2 linked regions of the Neurospora crassa OR74A genome follow. The protein of the gene in region 1 interacts with the protein of each later gene in a biochemical or structural test. Links are inferred from orthologs where the notes say so. Each region holds a gene or a part of one and is shown on either strand. Other genes may lie near its edges.

Region 1 (4,453 bases):
CCAGTCTTCGTTGGTGCTCGTTATGAAATTCATGTAGTTTTGGAAAGGAGGTGATGTCACCCCTTTGATATGGGGCGAGGCTGTACTATTGGAAGTGGTTCGGCCGAGGGCAGAGGACGAGGGAGGAGGGGTTCGTGGTCGCGATCCGGCGTTCGACAGATTTCTAGTCCAAGAGCGCCATAGTCAGCAAAGACGCCGTCGTTTCCCAGAGAGACATCCAAACAGTAACGCCGGCACCAACGCACAATGAATCAAACTTGAGCATGTCGGCATGGGAATAGGCAGCGCCAACGACCTTGCCCGAGTCGCGAGTGGTCGTCTTCTTTAGCGGGGCATCCTTCTGGGGCGCTCTCCAAAAAGGGGAGCCAGAGCTGTCGCATTGTCCGAGTCATGTCAGTGTTTCCGTCTTTGAGTTTAGGAATAGGACTTGGGACATACTCGGACCTGTCTGAAGCCATGACGGGACATGGGATCAGCAACTGGTTATACAACAAACAACGAAAGAGGGGGGGGTTGTAGTCATCAGGCAGGACATACCAACTTGCACCATCTCCTGCTGGCGTAGCGACATCATGGCCTGTTAGCATCATTGGAGTGAGGAAATGAAGCACTAACACGTACCTGGGGAGACGCTTTCTTGCCCGAGCTCGAAGAAGAAGAAAACATTATGTGAGTGGGTAGTATACAAACAGGACTGGTGATTTCGCCTTGGTTTACCAGCGCAATGGCATCACACCATGGTCAACAATGTCGTTCGTTGAAAGGGACGGAGGGAATGTCCATGGAGCTAGACAGGCAGACAATGGAAGTGGCCGTTCCTGTTCCCTTCAATTCATTGATGGCGTGGTCGTGTTAAGCCCATCGGCTCGTTTCCTGGGTACACAGCGGTTGCCAGGCTCGGGGCCACTAACAAACACATGGCTTTTGGCAACCGGGCACGTCCAGGGCATCTTGCCCATCATTCAGGTCATCTCATCTCGGTGTCTTTGCCTTCCTGTTCCAGCAGTGATTGACTTCAGTTGGACACCGTCCGCCTGTCACAGCTCGCCAGCTGTTCGCCAGCCTCAGACGGGCAGCCGATGTCGCTCACAACTTGAACCACTACAGCGCATGGGCAGCCCACCTCAGAGGGTGTGATAAGGTGCGCTGGACTGGCACCCCCTTCCCCGCAGGTACACAGGCCTCGTTGTATAGGCTGTTTCTCACCGCCTACGCGCCTAGAGGTAATTGGCCCTTGCAGACCTACCATAGGTACCTACCTCTAGACACGCGACTGCCACCTAGGTGGGCAAGGGAAGTGCCGTAGAGGAGTCATGTAGAGGTAGTACCTAAGGTAGGTAACGTCTTTTTGTTAGTACCCGACCCCAAGTCTTGGTTGCCGGAAGCGCCCCAACTCGCGGTGCCGGTGCCTTGAATCGGGGTCCACACCCGACCGAACCTTAACACTCGGCGCCAAACTGAATGGGACTGCAGGGCAGCGGCGAGGGGACTGAGGCAGGCAGACTGATGGAGTTCCAGGTCCGGTTTCTTCACTTGAAAAGCAAACGACGTCCACTCTTCCACACTTTCCACCTTCACTTTTCTACCCAAGTCAAGTCATCCTCGACAGCAGCAATCACAACCACAACCGACGACTTCATTAGTTCACTTGTACACCCAATCCGTGCCCAAATTCGGGTCTTTTGATCTGAGGGAGGAAACTGTACAAGCACCTGACGGACTCGACTTCCACCCACCTCGGGCTCTACTTGAGCTGCTCCGAGGTCCATCCGCCGCATCTCTTCTTGCGACGAGACAACTCGACCACTACGATCCATTCGCGTCTCGCTGCTTCTCGACGACTAGACCATCTTAAGTTGTGTATTCTTTCTGACCTTGTTCGGCCTGGTCTACTTCCAGCAATCCTTCCCCGCCCTACGCCATCTCAGCGTTCCACACAAATACCAGTCTGAATCAACCTCAACTCTCATCTCTTTTCCATCTTCGATACCCGGTATTCAAACACACAACAACCGCCAAAATGGCCGAAGCAGAGAATTACGAGGATGACCTCTTCGACGACCTGTATGTTATTTTGAGTACTCGCGTAACCACCCAATCTGAACATGATCTGACACTCTTGCGAACTAGGTACAACGACGACGACGCTCCCGCTGCCTCAAAGCCAGCCGCTGCACCAGCTTCCGCCCCCACTACAGCTCAGACTTCAGCTACTGAGCAGCCTTCTCAACAACAGCAGCAACAGCAGCAACAGCAAGAGCAGCAGCAACAAGCTGCCGCCGTCCAGCAGTCGGCTGCTGACAACTACGGAGGATCCAACGACTACAGTCAGCAAGGCTACTACAATGGAGGCAACGGACAATACGGCAACGATGAGGAAGAAGACGAAGACGAAGACGATATCGACTTCAATCTCGGAAGCGGCCCGTCCACCACGGTCGCTCGCCATGAGGACGACAACAACAACCAAAACAACAACCAAAACAACAACAACAACAACAACAACAGCCAGTCTCAATCGCAATATCATGCTCCCCCACCGACCCAGGCCCAACACAAGGGCCCCAATGCCAAAGAAGATGGGTAAGTCACATCCCCTTGATGCTATTCGTGACACACGTATATGCTCGTAACATCCCCCAACCCCCGTACAACCCCTCTCTGTATCCTCGATTTCGCCCCGACGCAGCTGCAGCCCCGCCCAGGCTCTCCCACATGAAGAGATGAACACCTACTCGAGACCCGCTCAGGACGTGGCGTCCCAGAACTGCTCGGTTGGCTGGTAGGGAATGGAAGGATTGGGCGGCGCAAGGACCTGATGAGCACAGTAGAGTCTTGGTATCAGACACTCTGAGTTACTCTGGCGCGTATGGGTGAACCATACCGTATGGATGCACCAGGGGCTACAAGACTGCAAGTGATCAAAGGCAGGAAGGGATCGCTCTCCGCTATGGACGTGAACATAAAAATCGGGAGAAAAGAGGCTGGAAGCCGTGGACTTGTCCAGGGTCACGCCATGGATCAAGCTTCGACGTCAGATTGATCCCGGAGTACGCTCCTGTCTGTACTACAAGAATGGTGGATGGCCTTGCGGAGGTAATCTTAATAGGGCGTGAGGGAACCGGCTTCCTTTTGCCAGGACGGTCGATGAGCCTGCAGCCAGAGCAAGATTAGCAGCGAGAAGGGCAGCACCCAGAACAGATACAGACAGTACCTAGCTTGACGGTAGCAAAGAGCTCGAGACAGCAAAAAAATTCGAAGAAAGATTCCGGCACACCCAGAGACCACTTGGAAAGTGGAACATTGCTGCGCTGCTGCATCTTCTGTTCACTCTGGGAACTGCCGTAGCATCCCCCCACCCTGGCCCATTTCCGTCAAGTCAAGTCAGCATTCGGCACATTAGGACAGCAGTCGTCTCGTCACCCTTGAGAACATCGCGGAGGCGGCTTCCAACTTCTCATTCGCCAAATGACAACCATCATACGGTCCTCGGTCGGTGGGCTCCGCCAACCTGCGAAGCCAACGGGAGAATCACATCCATTGCCACACCCACAGTCAAAACACCAGGCCCAGTATAAACAAGATGAAGGGTAGTTCTTCGGATATTGATGGTGGAGCCCATGCTATGTCAAGGATCATGACGGTAGACGGTCCATGTGGTCGAACTAGAGGTCTGGGATAGACATTACCTGAGGCTGCTCAAGTCCTGGCGCAACGGCTGGGCAAATGGGCTTGCTTCCCCAGTTCACGCTATATGCACGCGCCTCTCCAAACAACGGCTACAAACATGCTTCCGCATCACACTGATTGGTAGCTCTTGGGTTCGCGTGTAGCCATATGCGGATTCGCTCAGGATTTGGGTGTCTAAAGGGCTAGGCGGCTGGGGCTGTTTGCTTGATCACTCGCAATGTCTTTCTCACATCCGCATTTCATCTCATCGAGCCCACACATTCTTCACTGCCCTCATGTTACGCTTACTTGTTCATGTCCAGGTATCATAGATTGCTCAAAAGATGATGTTGACTAACGTCTTGCGCGTGCGCTTGTGTCTTATAGGAAGATGTTCATTGGTGGCCTGAACTGGGAGACTACAGACCGTAAGCCTTGCCATTTTCCCTGTCCTCTCCTCATGGTAATTGTTGCCCTCAAGGGGCACCATATGTACCATATGGTATTCGTGACAGTTGTACTGATACCGGTCTTGTGACTTTTTAGAATCCCTGAGAGATTACTTCTCGCAGTTCGGCGAGGTTGTAGAATGCACCGTTATGAGAGATGGCGCCACCGGTCGCTCGCGTGGCTTCGGATTTCTTACCTTCAAGGACCCAAAAACAGTGAACATTGTTATGGTCAAGGAACACTACCTTGACGGCAAGATCGTACGTTTGCCCGCCATAGCTCGTCTAACCCGTCAAATAAGTGGCCACTAACTCATTCTCCTTATAGATCGACC
Region 2 (4,566 bases), about 3.2 Mb from region 1:
AATCGCCGAGAAGAGCGTATGCCGATTGCTGAACGGCATCGGATTGATCCCCCATGCACAGAGCCATCAGCTCAAAAAAGGTTGGCTGGACGTTGGCAACAAGCTTGGAAGCCTTGTCGTTGTCTAGGGCCTGGATGATGGCACTGAGAAGATCGAGGCTGGTGACCAGGAAATCCTCATCAGGTTGATCAAGATCGGTGTTGGTCTTGGCCTTCATGGCCTGCTCCAGGTTTTGATGAATAATTCGAATACACCTGCCGAAAATAGGCTCGGCGTAAGGGGTGAAGGCATCGCCAAGGGCCATAGCGACGTAGGAAAGGCACTCGAGCAAGGGAAAAAGCTCCCGGGACTCATCACCCACCTTCTGCCACCTATCCAGTAGGACTGGCATCAACTGGTTACTAAGCTCAGGCCTAGCCAGGACGGGGCCGATGTGCTCAGCCAGCGTCTGAACGCAGTCGTAGAGAACCCACATATTCTTATCCTTGTACTTGCCGAAGCACCGGATGTATTGCTGGATGATGGGTCCGCAGTAAGGCTCGAGCGCCTTGCCTGCCTTCTCTTCTAGGTTTGCCATGGCAGAGGCACCAGCCTCCTGAACGTTCTTGTTCTTGTCAAGCATCTTCTTGAGAATTCCGTCCATCATAGGCAGGAAGTATCTCTCCTTTTCTGCCTGATCCACAAGGCTAACCGCCCACGCAGAGTATCGACCAAGGGTCCAGCAGGTAATCTGGCGAACCACCGGCTCCTCGTCGTCGAGGAGACTAACAAGATAGGGCACCAATTCTGGAAGGTGGGGAACGACCACGTCCATGCAGCCCTCAGCAACAGCACCAAGGGCGAGAACAGCCGCTTCTCTGTAAGACCAATCCGCGTGCTTGAGGTTGCTCTGCAAATATGGTAGAATAGAAGTGAAGACTGGTCCGCCAAAGTCGCGAGCAAATACATCAAGTGCCGCCGCTGAGCACTTGCGGAGAGTCCACTTCTCATCGGGATTCTCATCTCCCTCGGACTCGCTGTCGTCAATTTCGCCATCTTCCAAATCATCGTCGTCTTCCTCCATGCTTGCAACCTTCTCGAACGCGTTTCCATTCTTCGCCATATCAGCCGCAGTGTTTCCGTTAGCAGCACGGGTCAGCTTCTTCTTGGCGAACTGTGGCTTGATATCCTCCTCCCGGTCTTCTTCATCCTCATCGTCCGAAGCACCTCCAAGTATAGCAATATCCTCGGGACTGTAGACCATGCACTCCAAAAGTACGGGGATGATGTCTGTGATGTACGGTTCCAGGGCCCGCCACAGGTTATCGTGCTCTCCAACAGTCAGCCAGAACTCGGCAGCCTCAGTGGCAAGATCCTCGTCGTCACCCTTTTGTTGAGCGATGATGTACTTGGCCAGGCCTTCGATATGGGGCAGAAGCTTGTCCGGACGGGTTTCCACCAGGTTCACAAAAGCACGGCAGACCTGTTTTCGGACATCGATTGAGGGATCTTCAGCCAGAGCAAAGAGGTGCTGTAGAAGGTCATCTATCGAGTTCAGCATGGCCTGCGACTTCCTAGGGGTGAACACATTGATGGCTGTGAGAGCATGGGCGCGAACTTTGGGAATTGCGCTCCTGGTTGCCTGAATAAGCTTTGGAAGGAGAAAGTTGATAGGTCTTTGGCCGTTGTGTTCCCTTTCTAGCATCTTCGCATTGTCTTCGCAGATCTTTGCCATGGCAGCCATAGCTCCCTCCTGCGCCTCGGGCGTTACCTGACCAGACTCATTGGTCAACATCTTGAGCAACTCGGGCAGAAACTCGGGCCAGCCGTAGATTCCTCCCTTGTTAATCAGCTCAGTCGCAAGAGTGCCTGCATGACTGCGGATCTGTGAGTTCTTGTCCTGGAGCCCCAAGGGGACAGCCAACTTGACAAGAGCCAAGCTCTGTTCTGGAATCTTGTTATAGTTGTTCTTGATGTTGTTCTTCAGCATCAGAGCGGCGGCACAGCGCACAACATGCCAGTCTGCAGCAGTCGCTGGAAACTCCTGGGGTGGTTCCGAGCTCGAGAAAATCAGGGCCAAGTAGTTGTTGATATCGGGCGAAGCTTTCGCTTGGTTAAGCATCTGGTTTATAAAGACAAGTCAGAATCTCTGTCTTGTGGCAATGCTCCATCAGACTGGGTAACTAGATGGTGCCGAGGGGCATTAACTCACGATTTCAGCCTGCTTCTGGGCGGCCTTGTTGAAGGCGCTCAGGGAATCCTTCAGACATTGTGCCAAAGTCTTCAGGTTCTCTCCACTCGGTTGCCAAGCCATGGTGATAATTGGGATTGAAGTGACACAGGCGCGTAACGTCGGCGATGTGTCGTGTGGTGGCGGCGGCGGCGGCGGCGGTTGGTGGGTTCTCGGACTTTGATATCTCGTAGCTGACGAGAACCAGAACGATGGTGTCGGGCCGATACCGGTGAACTGCTGAAGAGTCGAACGCAGAATTGGGAGGCCCAAAGAAAAAAAGAAAAAAAAATGGCCGACTCGAATGAACTCTCTGACAGTGCAAGTTCAGTTGTGAGAGAGGCGCCGGGTCACCACAGCGCGGCCTTCAAGGCGGAGGTACTCTTTAGGGTTCGTTTAGTTGAAGCTGGTCGTGGGTAGTCGCATCTGGCAGGCCGACGGGTAGCAAGAGCTGCAGACAAGAACCGGCAGTTTGTCCTCGGGAAGGAGGCAGGGTGTTGTTTCGTTGATGAAAGAGATCGATACCCAGAAGCAATTGCCAGTGGTTACCGGTAGGTCGACATCGATGGTGGTCGTGGGTGGGCGGCGGGCAAGGCTCGAGCAGGGCAATGTTTAATGTGGGGTGCAAAGTGGGCCTTGGCTGGCCTCTATTTTTTGCTGTGCCGTCAAGTGCAAGTGGTCGAGGGGAAGGGAACGGAAACTTGTTGAAGACAAGTGGAGGTGCCGCCCCTGCCCTGCACACCTGCACTGGCACTTGTGCGATGCCAAGCCTGCTCGCCTACCTAGGAGATGCGGGCCTGTCAAGAAATGTGGCAGGTGTGGTCAGTGGTCTTCAGGTGCTAGCTCTGCGTGGGCGGTTGTAGCTTCGTTCTGTCCAAGAGCGGGGCCGGGGCAACCTCCCATGGACGCTTGATGAGGTCGTCGTCTCTCTCTCCCGCTCTGTACCTCTCATGTATGGCGGCCACCCGCCCGCTTGATGGTTGCACAAAACCCCTTCTGATAATGCTAAGCTTCCTGCTACCTACGTATGCACGTACGCGCCTTGAAGTGGATGGCACCGTTACAGCAGCAACTCATTAATGCCCGAAGGAAATCGAACAGCAAATGGCACCGGGGTCATTCATTCAAGAGGAGTCATCGGCAGAGCTTCTGGCGTCGCAGTCAATGAGACGCCCGGCCCTTTGAACCTCGACCAAGGGCCTGGCCGAGACTTTGATACTTTTGGGTTCGTCCCATTTCCCAGCTTGTGAACCACCCTACCTATCGGGTCATATTTGGTTGAAGAAAAGCTAGGTTTTTTATGCGTTGTAAGGATGGGATGGCAGTAAGGGTAAGGTATCCTCTCTCGCATGTGGCCTCTATTTTAGTTTAAAAGCCTGCTTGGTGGGAACTGAGTTTCTAGACCGCTTTCTATGATTTGGGAATTGGATGGCGAGTTTTCCTCGTCACCTCTTTCTCTCCTTCTTGCTGTACAGACCGGATGATGTCCATCCAGCACAGGCGGGATACCAGTCGTCCTTTTCAGACCTACCAGACACATGGAACTTGGATGTCGCCAGAAGGTCCACGACAGTGTTGCTGTGTAACAGACGACTGAGATCTGCCAAACCTGCCAGGTCAGCTTTGTGAGCCGATCTATCCCGCGGCCATGTTGATGTGCCAAATATGAAACTGCAGATAACACCCTTTGCCTCATCATAACCAGGGCTTTGGGGTTCAGAACATTTCCGTCAATTCTCTGAAGGTTAATCGCCTTCGGCCATGCCCCGTCGGGATATGGTGCCAATCCATATTGCTACCAATACCCGACATGTATCAAGCAGGTAACCGAACACGAGTGACAGTTCCATGGCCTTCTTGGGTCATGGATTCGTGGGAAACGACACGCCTTTGTGGCACGTTCAAAAAAAGGTGAGTAGGTTAGGCAAGCTCAAACTAAGCGTTTGCGGAAATTCGTTGAGAAGGGAACTGCCGGAATCCCCTTGGCCAAAAGGCCGAGGTGTTTGTGTGCAACAACTTGTGCCCATCAACAGTAGCAAAAAGAAAAATTGTAGTTGGGAAGGGTTCTTTTGTCAACGTTCGAGGCTCAGGACTGGACTCCATTGGGCGTCGCGTTGGCAAACTCAAGTTTGGATAGGACAAGCTCGGCTACCTGTTTGAAAGCTTCCATCTCCTCTTCAACAGTCCCGCCAAGGCCGGCACTGGCAAAGCTCACCGAGTTGCCCACATAGGTAGGCAGTTGCGTCCTCCTTGTGATCAGCTTTGCCAGTCGGGTGGTAAACTCCAACGTCGGCTCAACCGTACAAAGAGGAGTTGACAAAGGCTGTGTCGGGTTGTATCTCTAGACCAAGATTAGT

What was found. The genes of interacting proteins can lie anywhere in the genome.
Region 2: the proteins of NCU17030 (region 1) and NCU03690 form a complex in vitro, tested with the Saccharomyces cerevisiae proteins (2 studies listed by BioGRID). The link is inferred for Neurospora crassa OR74A from reciprocal best matches to the Saccharomyces cerevisiae genes HRP1 and KAP104.

What each region holds. Positions count from the first base shown.
Region 1 is NC_026505.1:5,320,979-5,325,431, reverse strand, and holds the start of NCU17030 (heterogeneous nuclear ribonucleoprotein HRP1), read left to right. Parts: upstream 1-1,405; 5' UTR 1,406-2,020; coding exon 2,021-2,064; intron 2,065-2,130; coding exon 2,131-2,583; intron 2,584-4,056; coding exon 4,057-4,097; intron 4,098-4,215; coding exon 4,216-4,379; intron 4,380-4,446; coding exon 4,447-4,453. Other genes in the region: NCU04241 (TBC1 domain family member 22A), read right to left, coding at 1-163, 246-371, 439-448, 538-556, 622-666. UniProt on the Saccharomyces cerevisiae protein: RNA-binding protein, which is involved in the polyadenylation-dependent pre-mRNA 3'-end formation and cooperates with the cleavage factor CFIA complex and the cleavage and polyadenylation factor (CPF) complex.
Region 2 is NC_026505.1:2,091,204-2,095,769, forward strand, and holds the start of NCU03690 (importin beta-2 subunit), read right to left. Parts: upstream 2,866-4,566; 5' UTR 2,294-2,865; coding exon 2,192-2,293; intron 2,102-2,191; coding exon 1-2,101. Other genes in the region: NCU03691 (hypothetical protein), read right to left, coding at 4,296-4,550. UniProt on the Saccharomyces cerevisiae protein: Functions in nuclear protein import as nuclear transport receptor. Serves as receptor for arginine/glycine-rich nuclear localization signals (rg-NLS) and PY-NLS in cargo substrates. Its predominant cargo substrate seems to be mRNA-binding proteins.